Lepisosteus oculatus: one gene and its partner. The protein of the gene in region 1 interacts with the protein of each later gene in a pairwise test. Links are inferred from orthologs where the notes say so. Each region holds a gene or a part of one and is shown on either strand. Other genes may lie near its edges. The genes, in order: slc38a7 and small COPII coat GTPase SAR1A.

Region 1 (8,145 bases):
CACAGTCCTGGACCACAGTTCCAATATCCTTCGTTACAGGACCTGGAATCCGGAAGTGTTTTCGAACTCACAGAGCACCCGGAGGGAGTCCCTGTCGGTCCCTGTGGTGAGGCTCACAGTGTCCAGCCTCCTGTCAGTCCACTCCTGCAGTCTGTCCAGCCTCATTTGGTCCAGTTCCCTGGGGGGGGTCAGCTCCTCCACTGGGCTGCACATCTGTCTCATACTGCGATGGGCACAAAGCGAAATCATGATTACACCACCCGCAGTACAGTTCAGCCCAGAGAAATAGCAGGATTTCCCAGACAGGCGTGTTCAATGCTTTATACTGGTCCAGGATCATCATTAGTACACAAATTATTGGGCTACATTGTTCACAGGCTCTTAGTTTGTCAGTAAGTTAGTTTGTTTCAGTACGTCTGAGAAAGTTTTATGTGCATGCTGACTGCATTTAATGAAGACTTACCTCTTGGATATCTTGCTGTATTCCTGTGGGAAACATTGAAAAAATCCAGTTAGAATACTTCTAGCAGAAACAGGAGTGCATCAGTGGGGTTGGTTCTAGTGCATTTTCTCCATTCTGAACGCTTGTCCCAAAAACTTCAATTCTAGTCATCACCCTTAGTACACCTAAGAACATCAGGGTCTGTAAATGCTACGAACAACACTTTGATTTATTGAGAAGGCTTTCTGCCACTGCCTCCCACCTTCAACTGACAGTGATCGCTTAATTCAACATGATATACATTTACCTATTCAAGATAAGAACAAGAAGGTCTGTGCTTTCTTATGCAAATGCCAGTTTTGCTTCACAAGAGTAACCTGACGTACAAAATAATTATTCTCTTTCATCCTAGCGTTAATCCCGCATCAGCAGGGTCCGCTTGTCGGCACGCCCGTCTCCATTTGGTGGTTTGAATCAAATCTTTGAGCTGATGTTGCCATTAAATGCGACCGAGAAATACTCCAACCGGCGTGTTGCACCGCCTGCCGTCAGAGGGGGTGGGGTGGGGGAGGAGAACAAAGTAACGTAGCCAATTCATAGAGGGGGATTATTAGGAGGCGTGGGAAATCTGGACAGGACACCGGGGTTACACCCCTACTCTTTTCGAGAAACACCCTGGGATTTTTAATGACCACAGAGAGTCAGGACCACGGTTTTACGTCTCATCCGAAAGACGGCGCTTGTTTACAGTATAATGTCCCCGTCGCTATACTGGGGCAGACGTGCAAAATAATGATTGACAACAGCAAAAACCACCACCACCTAGCTGGCACAAAAATGTTAAAGTCCGTGTAACCTCTTTCAAATCACAGCAGATCTCAGCTGGCTGGGAGCGCAAACTGCGTCGCTAGGCAAAATCTGAGCTCAAAGCCATCCCCCGGGTGTACCGTACCAGGACAAAGGCCTGGTCTCGGATCCGAGACGTCCCCCTGGTGTCGGACAGGCTCTCCAGCGCGCCCATGTTCTTCTGCGTGAGCTGCAGTGTGTCCTGGAGCTGCTCCAGCTGGGCCTCGATGTCGCCTAGAGCCCGGCTCTCCTCCCGGGACAGGCTCTGCAGGGCCAGCTGCTCCTCTGCGTCCAGGGCCGCTCGCATGGCCTCGTACTGCTGCTGGACATGGGCCCTGGCCTGGCTGACCGCTAACTGGGGGAACAGGAGCATGAGCCCTCTTAGCCGTCCCACTGCGGCTCAGTCACCAAGTCCATTAAAGCACACTGGACCAGACTGGACAGTGTCCATTAAAGCACAGTGGACTGGACCGGATTGGACCGAGTCCATTAAAGCACACTGGACTGGACTGGACCGAGTCCATTAAAGCACACTGGACAGGACTGGACAGTGTCCATTAAAGCACAGTGGACAGGACTGGACTGGACTGAGTCCATTAAAGCATAGTGGACTGGACTGGACCGAGTCCATTAAAGCACAGTGGACTGGACCGGACTGGACCGAGTCCATTAAAGCACACTGGACCGGACTGGACTGGACCGAGTCCATTAAAGCACACTGGACAGAACATTAATGTAGCTTTCTTGGCTCTTATACCTCACCCAGTAGCGAATGAAACTCCTGTCAGTGGCATCTCACTTCTCTTACAGTTAATCCAAAACTGTGATCAGGGAGCTCTGGAAGACTAGTCCCAGGAAAGACAGTCGGCAGCTTGTGTTATATATACAGCTTATGTTGTTAAAGGGGAACTGCAGTCCCAATTTCTCAGACTGGTTATTAAACCTCGGTAGGAAAATAAATTCACTGATGGTATAGATCAGATTTACAAATGTTGAATTTAGCACAAAATACTGAACTTTGTGAAAGTACTGTAAGTCGCCATGTTGTGGCAAAGCACTGGTCTCGCCACGGGCAAGAGTGAGAGTTCGCGATTTGCAATGGGAAGCGGCCCTTCCTGCTCACTAGTTTCTCTATTGACTAATGTGACGTGATGTACTCTCTGTGATGTGCGAGGGAATAAGTACAGGTTGTGCAGCAGACATTTCATGGCAGAAATGTTCCACCGTGATCTGCATGCAGTTAACAAGTGATATTTGTAGGTAAAACCGAGAAACTGAGAGCAACATCTCTATTGGATGAAGGGAGAGGTCTTCACAAGCTGCGTGTTTACCATGTAACAAGTCTGCTTCACATCACCGGAGGTTTTGTTGACTCATTCTAATTCACAGAACATGGCGCTGCTCAGACATGGACATTTAGTCTATTTTGTGATGTAAAATGGAGGTTTTTACAAGTTACTGTGTACATCTGACTTACATTGTGGTTTGCAAAGCACACATCAATGCTGATTCTCTCTAACCCCAAAATATAAATATAGCCTTGCAGGTCACCCCTGTATTTACACACTTGTAAGCTGTATATCTGGGCAGATGACACCTGGAGTGTCTGTCTTATCCACAGCGAGGACATAGTTTACCACAACACCGAGCTCTAACCCACCTGGATGTTCAGTTTCTTCTCCTGCAGCAAAGTAAGTCTGTCTTCGACAATCTGAACATTTTCCTGTATTTTAATCATCCCTTCTTTCAATTTCCCCTGAAAGGAAAAAAATGTAATGTTGTTATTAGTTGTAGTAATAGCAGCTGCAGTGATCGTAGCAGTATTGGCTGGATCAGAGTCTCTACTGTACAAACACTATAATGAGTATGTCAGGTGGGGAGCTGCGTCAGCATGCGTAGCCTGCAAAGGAACAAGTACAGGTTTATTCCATGCTGAAGAGAGAAGAGAGTAAACACAACGTTTCTTTCTTATCTTTTCAGCATGGAATAAACCATTACTTGTTCCTATAATGAGTATGTGTAGTTAAAATGGGGTTCGCACACAGTTTGAAGCTCAGCAAAGTTACTATATCAGGAGATTTGTGCTGTGACAGCAGTGTGTGCAACACATCCTGCTGCAGGCCCTCTGCCATCGGTAGTACCAGAAGGATCAGTGTATCATTCACGAGCCAGAGCAGTAGACACAGAGCCCAGGGACACACACACAGAGCTGCAGAGAATCCCGCCTCTCACCCTGAGCTCCTGCTCAGCCTCGCCCACGCCGACGCACTGGTGGCCCTTGTGCGCGCCGACGAGCGTGCACATGGTGCAGATGCACTCCTCGCACTCCCGGCAGTAGATCTTCAGCATCTCCTGGTGCTCCACGCACTTCCACAGAGAGATGTCGGCCGTGGGCTGCACCAGGGGGTGGCCCTGGAACACCGCCACCTCCAGGTGGATTTTCAGGTGCTCCGCGCACATGGAGGCTCCACACACCAGGCAGGTCTTCACGGCCGGCCGGCTGGAGGTGATGCAGTAGTTGCAGGGCACAGTGCTGCTGGTGGAGGGCCTCTCTGCCTCTGTGGCAGGCGCCGAGGGCTGCTCTCTCTCTCCTCCCAGGGCTGGCAGTTTCCTGTACTCTGCCCTGCACTCAGGGCAGTAGTAAGGGCCAGTCTGAGAGGTGCTCCACAGCTCCTGGATGCAGCCCTGACAGAAGAGGTGCCCACATCTCAGAGTGGTCGGCTGCCGGCATTCTCGGTGGCACAGAGGGCACTCCGGCTGTACGCCGAGCCTCTCTAAGGCTGCGCCCATTTTAGCCATTTTAGAGAACAAGGAAGAAAGACGAGGGCCTGGGAGGAGTTTACAGTTTGAAAATGAGAGACTCCACCTTTTCCCCCCTTTAGTTCTTAAAGGGGCAGAGCAGGAAAAAAAAATTACGGCGGAACAACTCACACAAGTACATTTTCATACTGTACTGTGTTCAGTACACGGGGTCGCGGCGAGCCCAGAAACCCGGCTGACAATGAACTCCCGGCAGGATGATAACCGGGCGGTCCAGTCCATTCTGAACACCCACACTCGTGCATTCACACCAAGTCGTTGTTATTCCTCTCTTCCTTTTCTCCACCTCCTTTTCTGCTGCAGAGATTTGTGTAATATTTATCCATTTTAAGAACTAGCAGAGGCGTATGGGTGGCACAGCTGAACTGAGTACCAAATTGCCTGCAACGCAGCTATTACGCGCACCGGTAAAATAAACGAGGGACTAAATAGCATTAAAAAAGTACAGACTATTTTCATAAACCTATCTTTACAAAAAAACCTGGGGGCTCTTTTAAATAATACTAAACGCAACTCAACATAACTCTACTTAATATCAATATAGAAACACGAATTAATCACATTTAGTTTTTTAAATGTTTTTGCCGTTATTGATAGTGAACAGTAATGCTTACAGTTGTACCCCGCGTTATGTTTCGACGGAGCTGCAACTACAGAAAAGTGTAATACTAATAAACTTAGCAACAACTAAGGAAACCTTCCAGGACAAGGAAAAAAAACCAACCTAACCCAAAACTACAGTTCCCATGATCCACCTGTCTCGCGTGAGGGCGAGCAGGTCACGTGACAATCACATGTCACTGCAGCTGGATCAGCAGGAGGAATCTGCCCCAGCAGCTACAATAAGGCGAGCGAGAGGAGATACCGGTTGGTGAGTGTGTCTGTTCAGTGAATGCCTTCGCTTACTAGCATTGTGTTTTCTTTCCAAACGTGCCTGTGAACTCACTGAATGTTACTGCGTTAAGGAATTTATTAGCTTCCGAGCGGCATGTAGGGAGTCACAAAAGGAATGAGGCGATGATAAGGTCGGTATCGATGCTGGGCGATTTGTGCATACACACAATCCGCAAGCCAAGCGTGCTAGTTTAAATGAGGTGTCTCCGAGCCTGGTCGTGGAGAGACAGTATTTCATTCTGACTCTCCTCTTAGCAAGCTGAATCGGCTGGTGTAGCTGATAAGCTTAACAGCTTCTCAGGTGCTGCTCCGACTCTGAAAACCGAAAGCACGCCGTCCTACCAACACCAGCATGCCCCCTGTCCGGCGTGAATGATTTCATTTACAGCGTGTGTATAGGTGAACTGAAATTCTAGTGAATATAGCACGTCAGACTGGTGTTTCCTTACCCGTATCTGAGGTTTGATTCACCTGTGATCAGTGAAAACATGAGGAATGTGGACACCGAGTCTCCCTCTGTCCTTTCCCTGAGGTCAATATGGTGACCCGTTGTGATTTAAGTTAGCATGTGCGAGGAAGGCAGGATTTATGCGAAAGGTGGGTTCAAGCCCTGCAGAGGTTCCTCACGTTTGCCCACTGACCCGTTTCAAAGTGAAACATGATTTGGATTTGAATTGCAGGAGATGGTTTCAGTCCCTCGAGTTGTTTTTGAGGACTTGAAGTAATAATGGCATACAGAGAATTAACATAACAAAGCCTTATTTAGAGTACTCCACGGTGATTTTTATTTTTTAATAGTGCATTACAAATAAAGCTGATCTTGATCATGAAATTTTACGGTAGCAAAACTGAAATATTTTTTTTTCCAGTAGTAAGCAATTATAGATCCTTTTACAGGCTTAGACCGCAGTACAGATTTTGAATCACAAGACCAAGAATATTACGACATGCAGTGACATGTATGCTGGTCAGTACAGAAGATACTGTTATTTAGTTTTCCAAGGGAAATAGTGGTGTCTCCTAGATCGGAGACCTTATTTGTTGAGGAGCAGTTACTATATAATTTTGAAAACCCGTCGTTGCTTTAATGAAGTTCCTTTCTATTTCTGTGTCGCGTAAGCAATGCCTTGTTTCTTCCTCGCCTCTTGAGGAACAGAGATCTTCAGAGCGGTGTGAAAATTTAAACAGGAACAAAGTACGAGAGAAAGAGCCCATATAAGACCGGCAAGCAGCTGACGTCATGTCAGGAATTCTGTCTTGTTCCCCATCTAAAGCGGAATAACTCAGACGCGAGTGTGAAAATAAAATGACTATTATCCAACAGCAGAGACGTGCAGAGTCCTTTTGGTGGGCAGTGGCTCAAAAGGGGAGAAGGTGCACTTTCCTGGGATTTTGTTACATACGAGTATCCTGGACACAGATCAGCGCCCGCTTGTGTTTCTGTGTTTTTTTAATTTGAATGGAAGTTTGGATGCGACCTCAGAGGCGTTAATCATATTCCCAACCTTGGCAAAATAAATGGTTGTCCATAATTGCTGATTATGTTTGATTAACAGACAAGATATTACACCCGCTCCACTGAATATATACTTTATTTTCCTGATATAACACAGCTTAATAAGAGGACAGAGCAAATGAAACAATCGGCATCTAATTACATATTCATCAAAACTGAAGTCGTACAACATTTACCGATGTAATCATTCTTGTGAGGCAAGACTCTTCTGTTATTGAGGCGCACATGGAATGTAGCCTAAGGAACTGGCTTTTTTGATGACCATTTTCCTGTCTGTACGCCGCTAGTTGTGACCCAGTTGTTGAAGCGATGTCCTCCCTAAATTCTCTCTCTTCTTTTTCTTTTTTTTCTGGAGCCATGTTCTCCTGTTTCTGTGACTGAACCTTATATACTGTATACAACAAAGACTATGCATGTTAGCTGTTTATGTCCAATACAAAAAGACTGGCTTGTCTACTCGGTGAACTCAGTTTTCTTAAGGAAATCTCAAATCTAGCTAAGCAGCCACGCAGACAATAACGTGGCGAATTCGACGGTTTGCAAACGTAGAGTAGGTGAATGAAAATAGTATTTTTTAAACACAAAGTGCTCAATACGACACCCTTGGAGTGTTACTTTTGTACAGTCCTTCTGAAAATCTGTGTATCTTCTCACCATTCAAAAATGTTTAACACGATCTCCACAGGTGGAGTAGCCTTCGTCGCTTCTCGCTGCTTTTTACAACCAACGGGAGGCGGGCGCTGGTGCTCAGATGAGATCGATTAGGTCCGACATTTTATTTTCCTAATGGGAGATTCGTACTAAATACAGAGGCAGAATCGTCAAGTGGCAAAAACCAAAAAAAATTAAATTGGTTGGACTTTTTTTCTACAAGCAAAAAGAGGCACTTGGGCCCATGAGGGCAAAGGGGCTTGAGCCAGTGTAGCCGCCCTGCTCTGCACATCCCTGTCCTAAAGGTTAGACCAGAAGTTTCAAGCTCAATTCTCGGAGGGCCTGAACGTCCTCTGAGTTTAATCCACCCGTGTGCTCGGTTACATAGTGGGTCTAATTGTTGAATTAGCCACAAAGATGGTCGTATTTCAGTGCAGGCTCTGGGGTGATTGCTGGCAACTGTACCTCACCTGAAGCGGTAGTCCTGGGGAATCAGCTGAGGAAGACCTTAAGGAAAGTCATACGTGTCTGATTTAAAGAACGGCGTGGTTAATTGACTAATTGGCCACGCAGGTTGGTGGGGAGCCCAGAAGACAGCAGGCCCTGCGGACCCTGAAACAGACTGTGCTGGGGGAGTGATGCAGGGGGCAGCAGCCGACACCCCGAGAGGATCCCCAGCGCCCGGTGGCCCGCAGTGAGCTCTTCCCGAGGGGCCACGTCTCTGACTCGCCCACCCTTCGCGGCCTCGCTCCTGCACCCACGTCGCAGACCGTTCTGGGCTCCGCGGTCACCCCAGGGGCGAACCTCCTCTGTGCGCGGGGAGCGGGAGGAGTGGAGGAGGAGGAGGAAGGGCGAGGCGCTGCGATGTCCCGGCCGGTCATGGCGATCAACAGCGAGGGCGCGGACTGGGGCTGGAGCGAAGACGCCGGGGAGAGGGCCAGGCTGCTGCAGAGTCCCAGCGTGGAGGCGGGGTCCC
Region 2 (7,723 bases), on another chromosome or scaffold:
TTGTCTCATCTGTCAATAGTGCCTGTTAATGAAAACGAATAATGAGCAGTACAACCTTGTACACATTATGTCCTACACAACTATAAACTCCATTCTGCTGTACAAAAGTTAACTTTCTTTTAAATGTGCTGTTACTTGCTTTACAGGGCTAAAATCTCAATAAGAAGCTTTTACAACCATTTTAAAATAACACACAAATACTTTATTTAACCACTGTACCAAAGCACTCTATAACATAGCACGGATAAAACACACAAGTTTAATCTGACGTTTGTATATTTTAAACATCCTATTGGTTTTCTTGAAAATGTTCTCTCCCATTATGGGTTCTATAACTATGTTCTTTTTCATTGTTGGAAAGGACAGCTCAAAATATCACACTCAATACCAAAAATATGTTACACAAATCATTACGACTTCAGGCTGATAATTACATGCCCTAGTTAATTAGTATCTAGTGTTTATATGCAAAACTTCTGCTGGCAGGTCATGCTGCTTATCTTCCCAAAGACGAACATTCAGTCATATCTTCCAGTGTGCGAAGTACACTACTTTGTAAAGCAGAGAATGTAATTTTCTTGCTTAGAAAACATAATTACGATTTACATGCCTTGTGTAGTGTTTTCGTATCAATAGAAATACTGCTGGTTTTACAGTAAAGGACAGTAATGTTCATGTTTTGTATGGCTTAAAAATACAATAATTGTGAAAATTTTCAACATCTGATCCCCCCCCCCAAATTAAAGCACTTCAAAATTATCTTCTCAAGATTCCAGTACTATCACAATTATGCAAACAACTTATGACCTTACGTCAAGCTCTACTTTTGATTCTTGAAGGCGAGGGTGATCTGCACAGTCCACTAGAAAGACAATTCCATTTATAGCTGGGAGGTAATTCTTCCAGACTCTTCTCGCTGTGTAGAAGAAATGACAAACAACTGTTGCAAAAGTGGTATAATGCAGAGGTAAATCACACTAATATGAGTGAGCTTTTCTTATGGAATATTATATACTGATTTTTACATTATATATCATAAAAGTACCAGGACAATCAGCATACAATCATTCCAATAAAAAAAAGAAATCTCTAAACTACAGAAAGCAGCTGCCAGTATCAGCTGGTAACATTAACACTCCTTCAGCTAATGACATTGTAATAGACACCAATATTTTCTACCTTCGCTCACCTTATGTGTTGCTACGCACATTTTGGAACAACACCATCCTGAAAGCACATTTTTCACTGCTTCAAGGTTGTGCTCCTAGCACTACAGGTGCATCAGAGTCATTGCTAATTGATTCATTTTATGGCACCTGTTTTTTTACTTAAAAGGGGAAGTAAACAAATGTAATTGCATCAGAAATGAATTTCTTACCTTGTGCATGTCCACCAAGATCAAATGTTGTGAACGTCATTCCAGCAATTGTTAACTCTTCCGAGGCTATCATAAAAAGAGTGGAAAATTTCATTACATTACAGCAATAAGACTGATGGAAATGATTTTTGTTTACACTATACTACAGCAATGCTTGGAAGAACAAAACATTTAGTCTTCATATCATATTTACAAAAGCATAAATTAGGTTTCACGGACCAAATATCATTTCTACTATGAATTCAGTTAGCTTTTAAATTAAACATCCATTCTAAAAACTGCCAATACTACTAAAAGAAAAAAACACAAAGAGGGAAAGTACTTACTTGGATGTAATGTTGGAACATGCTGCCCAAGCCTATCATCTTTAAGCATATGTAATAATGTTGTTTTGCCAGCATTATCTAAGCCGAGGAAAACTAGCTTCCCAGATTTCTTGTACAAACCTGAAAAGACATTAAAAAAAAAACATCTGGTTGAAAAGAAAAACTAATATCTTCTAAATAAAACTAGGATAGAAGCAATATAGGAGTTTTGAAAAGTATTCTACATATACACCTACACTATTCACTCCAATCAACCATTTACAACCCATAATGTTTTACTGCATTTATATACACAAGTGCCTAAAAACTAGGAAGGACAAATACAGCTGAGGAATCAAGAAATGAAAGCTTTTTCAGGCCAATAATAAAGATAATGTTTACTTTGCTCATAGACAGGAGGAAACAACAAGTGTGATACATTACCTAGAAACTGTAGCACGCTGCTAAAACCTTTATAGATCCAATCAAATATAAATGACATTTCTGTTGTTGTCACCTGAAATAAAACAGAAGTTTTAAGTGAAAAGACAGCAACCTGTTTCGCAGTTACACGACAGATCATGTTGCGTTTTTCCCCCACAGATGAACGTCCTGTACGTCTGAAATACCAAACACTATCCTAACTTAATCGTCTCTTAGCGGCACAAAGTTTCAAGTTGTTCAGAGGGACCGCTTCATCGGCGAGGACAACACCGGCAGCCAGTCGACTACAACCGTTTAATACTCCGCTGCTGTCCAGTGTGGTTTCGTCTGGAACATAAGGCGTCAGAGGCTACTTAAATGCCCTTCTCGACATGCAATTCCATAAATGACGTGCAGAGGCAGCTATGCTTGTCACTGAAGTGTAAATATGCGGAGCCAGCGACACGGGAATGGCCGAGCGCGATTCCCAGCACTCGACCCTCCGGTTTACAGTTACAGGTATTTAAGCCACGTAAGTTTAGATTTGATCACCACCAAAGACAGTTCGTTTCCCTTCAACCAAGGTGGGGGTCGGGGGACTTTGGTTCCATTCTTGTCAAATACGTGACAGCAGGAGGTCTCTTCTCCTTTGCGTCATTTCGCTACTCCATCACCGATATACGGCCCGGGCCGAGAGTTGAAATCGGAACCGAATCACTTTTCCCCAGCTTCAGCACTTGGGTTCGGGCCTAGCACCCAAACACATTCGAACAAGCTTCTTCGAATAGAAACTTTTGTAAATTCGTTAAAGTCACCTCCTTACCTCAGCGTGCCCGTTTCTCTTTAACGCTGTCTGTTCAAAACCGAACCGTACCGCTTTCTCCTTTCGCCGAACTCTCTTCTACCACCGACTGAACACCGGAACCGCGTAAACGCATTGAGTTTCCGGTACCTCTTACCATGACATCACTTCCGCCAAGCGCCGGTGACGATGTTTGCGCGCTCGCGGTGTATGGTATTCACGAATCTCTTCTCATTTCTACGTATCTTACAAGTGATCATATACTTTTTGCAAGAAATGTGAAATTGCAGAAATGTCTAATGACATGTGCATAACATGTATGAGGTTCTTCAGCCTGTATAACAAATTAAGTGTAATGTCACTTTTTAAGAATGTTAAGAATGTACTTATCTTACGCTAACAAGATGTGTGTTTACTCTGCAGGGATGGTGGACTAATTAACACGAAATCCTGTTTAAAATTATTTAGCACTGGAAGTCTGTACTTGGATGTTTTTGGCCAACGTGCTTCTAGATTTCCAAATTTCTAGATCGATCTCTCGACCTGTAAAACATAAATGCCGATTAGAACGATAAGAAAGTTCTGATTTACAGAGGAAAATAGCTCCACCTTTGCCCTTTTTATATGCGGTATTACGGCTCCATTTATGGTTATTCTGGACCCTTATACATTATTACATTAACTCTTGGTATCGAGTTTCGAATTCGTATTTTATTCGCTCACGCTAGCAGCAGATTCTTGTGTGGCTACGTAATTCTTAAAAGCACTAGAGGGCAGCAAAGAATAAAGTATATTTACAAAAAACGTGTTCAGTAAAATTAGGACACTCGAAAACCAGATTGATGTGACAGTTCAATTTTCAAAATTTGCCCTCGATTTAAACTGTGATTTTACCCTTTGTACAATAAAAATATGATAATTGGGCTTCAAAACTGAGACCGCTTTGTCACCAACTCTTTTGAAAAAATTCTAAAAAAAAAATAATACAAAAGCATTTCCTTCTCCAGTTAGCAGAGAAGGAAAATTGTCTCTCTCTCAACATGTTGAGTTCATGAAAACGGGTATTCAGCAGATAATCTGTTGGACTATAATACATTAACTCAGATACCTGGATTTGTGGTATTCCTGCAAGGCACACTACTGCTCCTGCTGTCATATGTTTAATAATATTTGCTAACACTTATATAGCGCTTTTCTGGACACTCCACTCAAAGCGCTTTACAGGTAATGGGGACTCCCCTTCTCCACCACCACCAATGTGCAGCCCCACCTGGATGATGCAACGGCAGCCGTAGTGCGCCAGAACTCTTATCACCTATCAGTGGGGAGGAGAACAGAGTGATGAAGCCAATTCATAGATGGGGAACATTAGGAGGCCATGATTGGTAAGGGCCAATGGGGAATTTTGGCCAGGATGCCGGGGTTACACCCCTCCTCTTTTTGAGAAACGCCCTGGGATTTTTAATGACCACAGAGACTCAGGACCTCAGTTTTACGTTTACCTCAGGCAACTGTTCTGCTTCCAGAGCAGCAATAACCCTCAAATGACCTTTAATAACGTTCATGATTATATAATCCTGCTCATCCCAATGGAGACTAACGTGTTTGACCCCCTAGAAAAGGTCCACCTCACCTACCACTGAACTTCAGCACCCTCCTTTGTGATACACCACAGCCATTCCCAAATGTAAGTCAGACAGATACAAACATTCCTTTTCCCACTATCCATTAAAGCTGTAACACAAATGTCAAGGATAAACACAATTTGGACTCTTACAACCCACTTGACTGCAATATGTTTTTGTAATGTGTTATAAATGTTACATGTTGTTATGTGTTATACTGTGCAGTAGAATGATGTGCAATGTTTTTCTTTTTTTGTAATAGTATAATGTGCAATGTTTTTCTTCTTTTTTTTTGCATTCTATTCTATTTAAATGTACAGGAGTGCTGGGTGTCCATATAAAATTTCCCTCAGGGGACAATAAAATCTAATCTTATCTGTCTTATTTGAACATGGTGGTCCTGGTCACAATGAAATGTAAAATCTGGTCTGGGGGAAAGTGCGCCACCTGCTGGACTATTGTCATTACAGCAGGTCTCCCATCCCGACCGGGTCAGCCGATCTTAGCATTACAGATCTAGGAGATCAGACTACAAGTTGGTGACACTTCTGCTACAAGGGTAGCATTTTTTAACAGTACTGCAGATGAATACAGAAGAACAGTCTGAACACAGAAAACAGATGTCTTACGAAGAGGAAAGGTTTTATTAAAGCAACATTGTAGTGCTTGCAGCTGCAGCTCCTGGGTTTTAACAGATTAATTACAATGATTGGAAATCTATAGCAAAAGAGTTCAAGTCTTAAAGGCTTTCATAAATAAAGTAAAACACAAGCTAGTTTTATTGTGACTGATTCATTCATGTCTTCCTAACTTTGATATTAATGGGAGATTATGTTATTTTCCACCATTGCCTACTTTTTTGATATGCTTAAATACATAAAACCTAATATTTAAAGACTGATTCAAGTACAGTTTCTAGGCAGATGACAAAGAGCTCTGATCCACCCTTCAGGTATTCCTCTCGGATCACTGCTATCCCAAATAGTGCCACTTGTCCACTGCAAAAAAAAAGTATTTTAAACCAAATTTTGAAGTGCATTTGTTGCTGTAAATCATCACATGGTTGGAGTATTTTATCTGATTGATTCACTCCATCATAAAATTAACAATTTAATACAGCTGGCATTAAATTAAGATTTCAACCCCCCAACTTAGTGCATGAGGGAAGGGATTCCTGGCCATTAGAAATGCAATTCACAGATAGCCACAGTATTTCATATGGGTCTGCATCTCCTTATTCTCAATTGTGAAAAATCTGGGAATAGATATCAGCCTTTTTAAAGTTTCCTGAACTACTTTGAAAAGTTAACAAAAAAACAAGACAATTGTATCTGAAGTTTGACCATAAAAGTGTGAAAGTTCCCCTTTACAACAACTGGGTATTTTGTGTCAAAGTAAGAGGCCAGTTTTAGTCATATCCTTTAACAAAAAATAGAAAAAATCCTCAAAAAGTTGAATGAATTGTACACACCTGTTGATGGAAGAGGTTCTGGATTTCCACAAGGACAGGTCTACAACAGCAAGGAAACAGACGTGACATCAGACAGTCTGACATTTACACTTCATACTTACTACTTAAAGTTCAGAATGGAAAAAAAACCCTTTAAAACAAGCATTGAGATATAAACAAAACATTCTGAACTTGTCAAAGTGATCTTTCAAGAGCTGCATCATGAAATAAGATCACCCAGTGGTATCACATTACGCTCTCGGGTTCACGTGGGTATGCGCCCTCGCCACTGCCGCCTCAGGTTGGCCCCCCCATTGCTGGAGACTCGAACCCAGGCCTCCAGCGTCACTCAACAGAGACCCAGCCAGTTGAGCTAAAGGGAAATCTCCTGTCAGCCCGACAGCTGTGGTCCCTGCTATCCACAGGGAAGGGCGGTGACGTCACCGCGCTGGGAAGCCGGCTCGCACAACCTCTAATGTCAGCCGTATGCGTTACATTACCATTTAAAATACCCACTACAATAACACAGAATGTGTGGACCATAACAGCATATAAGCAGAAAACTTACTGCATCAATAACAGCCTGAGCCTCTGCTTCAGAGCAACAGAAAGGACTGTCCGAGATGCAAGTGTTTGTACTGTAGTGAAAGAAAAAAATCCCATTTAAGATCTTTAACACCTTCCAGTTAGTACTAAAATGAAAGTATAAATCCAGCAAAGCTTCAGCTTCCAGACTGAGTCGTCTTATGAAGACGGCTGACTGTCAATGTTTTTCTATTGTCATATAAGTACTACGTGACCTAGTTTCTCTTAGTGACATTTCAAATATTTCAATGCAAAGTGCTTTCTTTCCGCTGCATTTTTTACATCTTTAATGCATAACGTACTTCAATCTGAAGTGAAACCAAGACTAACTAGTTACAAGTACTAACTACTCATATGTGCAGTGTATGACTTCAGAATGAATACCTGCTCTTTACAAACCTGGGTATCCACAGCTGGTCTATTTCTAGACTGCTGCACAGATGTAGTTCAAATATATATTTTTAATTCTCTTAAAAAAATCTGTTTTAGTAAACGGGGCTTGCAGAACCTGGGCCTTAAAATTCGGCCACTTCAAAATGTTAGCAACTCACCAGCTCAGTTCCCCACTGCTCGTCTTTTTAGACACCAGAGCTTTCCAAAAACCATGGGTGCTCTTTATGATCTCGATGGCAAAGTCCTGCAAACAAAGGAACGTAAATTTGAACCTTATGTGCATTAGCATCCACATGCCTAGATCTGCTGCACCTCGGGGCTACTGCAATTACAGAATGATTCCAATCAGCTCCCTGCTTCAAGAGCAGGCCACCATCAGGAGCAAATACTGATCATGCCAAATGCCCGGCTGAAATTTGTAGCTTTGCAGCCCACTTAACACAGTTCTACAGTGATGACCGATTTATATCATAATTGATTGATTCTGTGAATCTGCATGGCGAAGTGGAATTGTGGCACTGAGTAAGAAGAGCGTGACAAGGGACTTTGATTGCTGATTGCCTAATTAACACCACATAGAAATCGAACACATCCAGCAGAGAAAGTAATGCAGTTTCATCAGAGCAACTCATAGTATAACAAGTTATTTGAGAGCCCACATGGATTTCTGACGCTTTTGCAAACAAGTCATTATCTTATAAGTAATGCTGACCACAAGTTAATACAAAACTGTATATAACTAAAACTTTAACAGCAAAACAC

The links.
Region 2: the proteins of slc38a7 (region 1) and small COPII coat GTPase SAR1A interact in binary tests that used the Homo sapiens proteins (3 or more experiments, as listed by UniProt). The link is inferred for Lepisosteus oculatus from reciprocal best matches to the Homo sapiens genes SLC38A7 and SAR1A.

What each region holds. Positions count from the first base shown.
Region 1 is NC_090715.1:4,400,319-4,408,463, forward strand, and holds the start of slc38a7 (sodium-coupled neutral amino acid transporter 7), read left to right. Parts: upstream 1-4,892; 5' UTR 4,893-4,979; intron 4,980-7,742; 5' UTR 7,743-8,033; coding exon 8,034-8,145. Other genes in the region: E3 ubiquitin/ISG15 ligase TRIM25, read right to left, coding at 72-223, 464-486, 1,395-1,643, 2,949-3,044, 3,521-4,087. UniProt on the Homo sapiens protein: Symporter that selectively cotransports sodium ions and amino acids, such as L-glutamine and L-asparagine from the lysosome into the cytoplasm and may participates in mTORC1 activation. The transport activity requires an acidic lysosomal lumen.
Region 2 is NC_090699.1:19,536,616-19,544,338, reverse strand, and holds the start of small COPII coat GTPase SAR1A, read right to left. Parts: upstream 3,058-7,723; 5' UTR 2,930-3,057; intron 2,201-2,929; 5' UTR 2,186-2,200; coding exon 2,128-2,185; intron 1,825-2,127; coding exon 1,705-1,824; intron 1,445-1,704; coding exon 1,379-1,444; intron 917-1,378; coding exon 813-916; intron 23-812; coding exon 1-22. Other genes in the region: inorganic pyrophosphatase, read right to left, coding at 5,506-5,531, 6,005-6,044, 6,552-6,621, 7,120-7,205. UniProt on the Homo sapiens protein: Small GTPase that cycles between an active GTP-bound and an inactive GDP-bound state and mainly functions in vesicle-mediated endoplasmic reticulum (ER) to Golgi transport.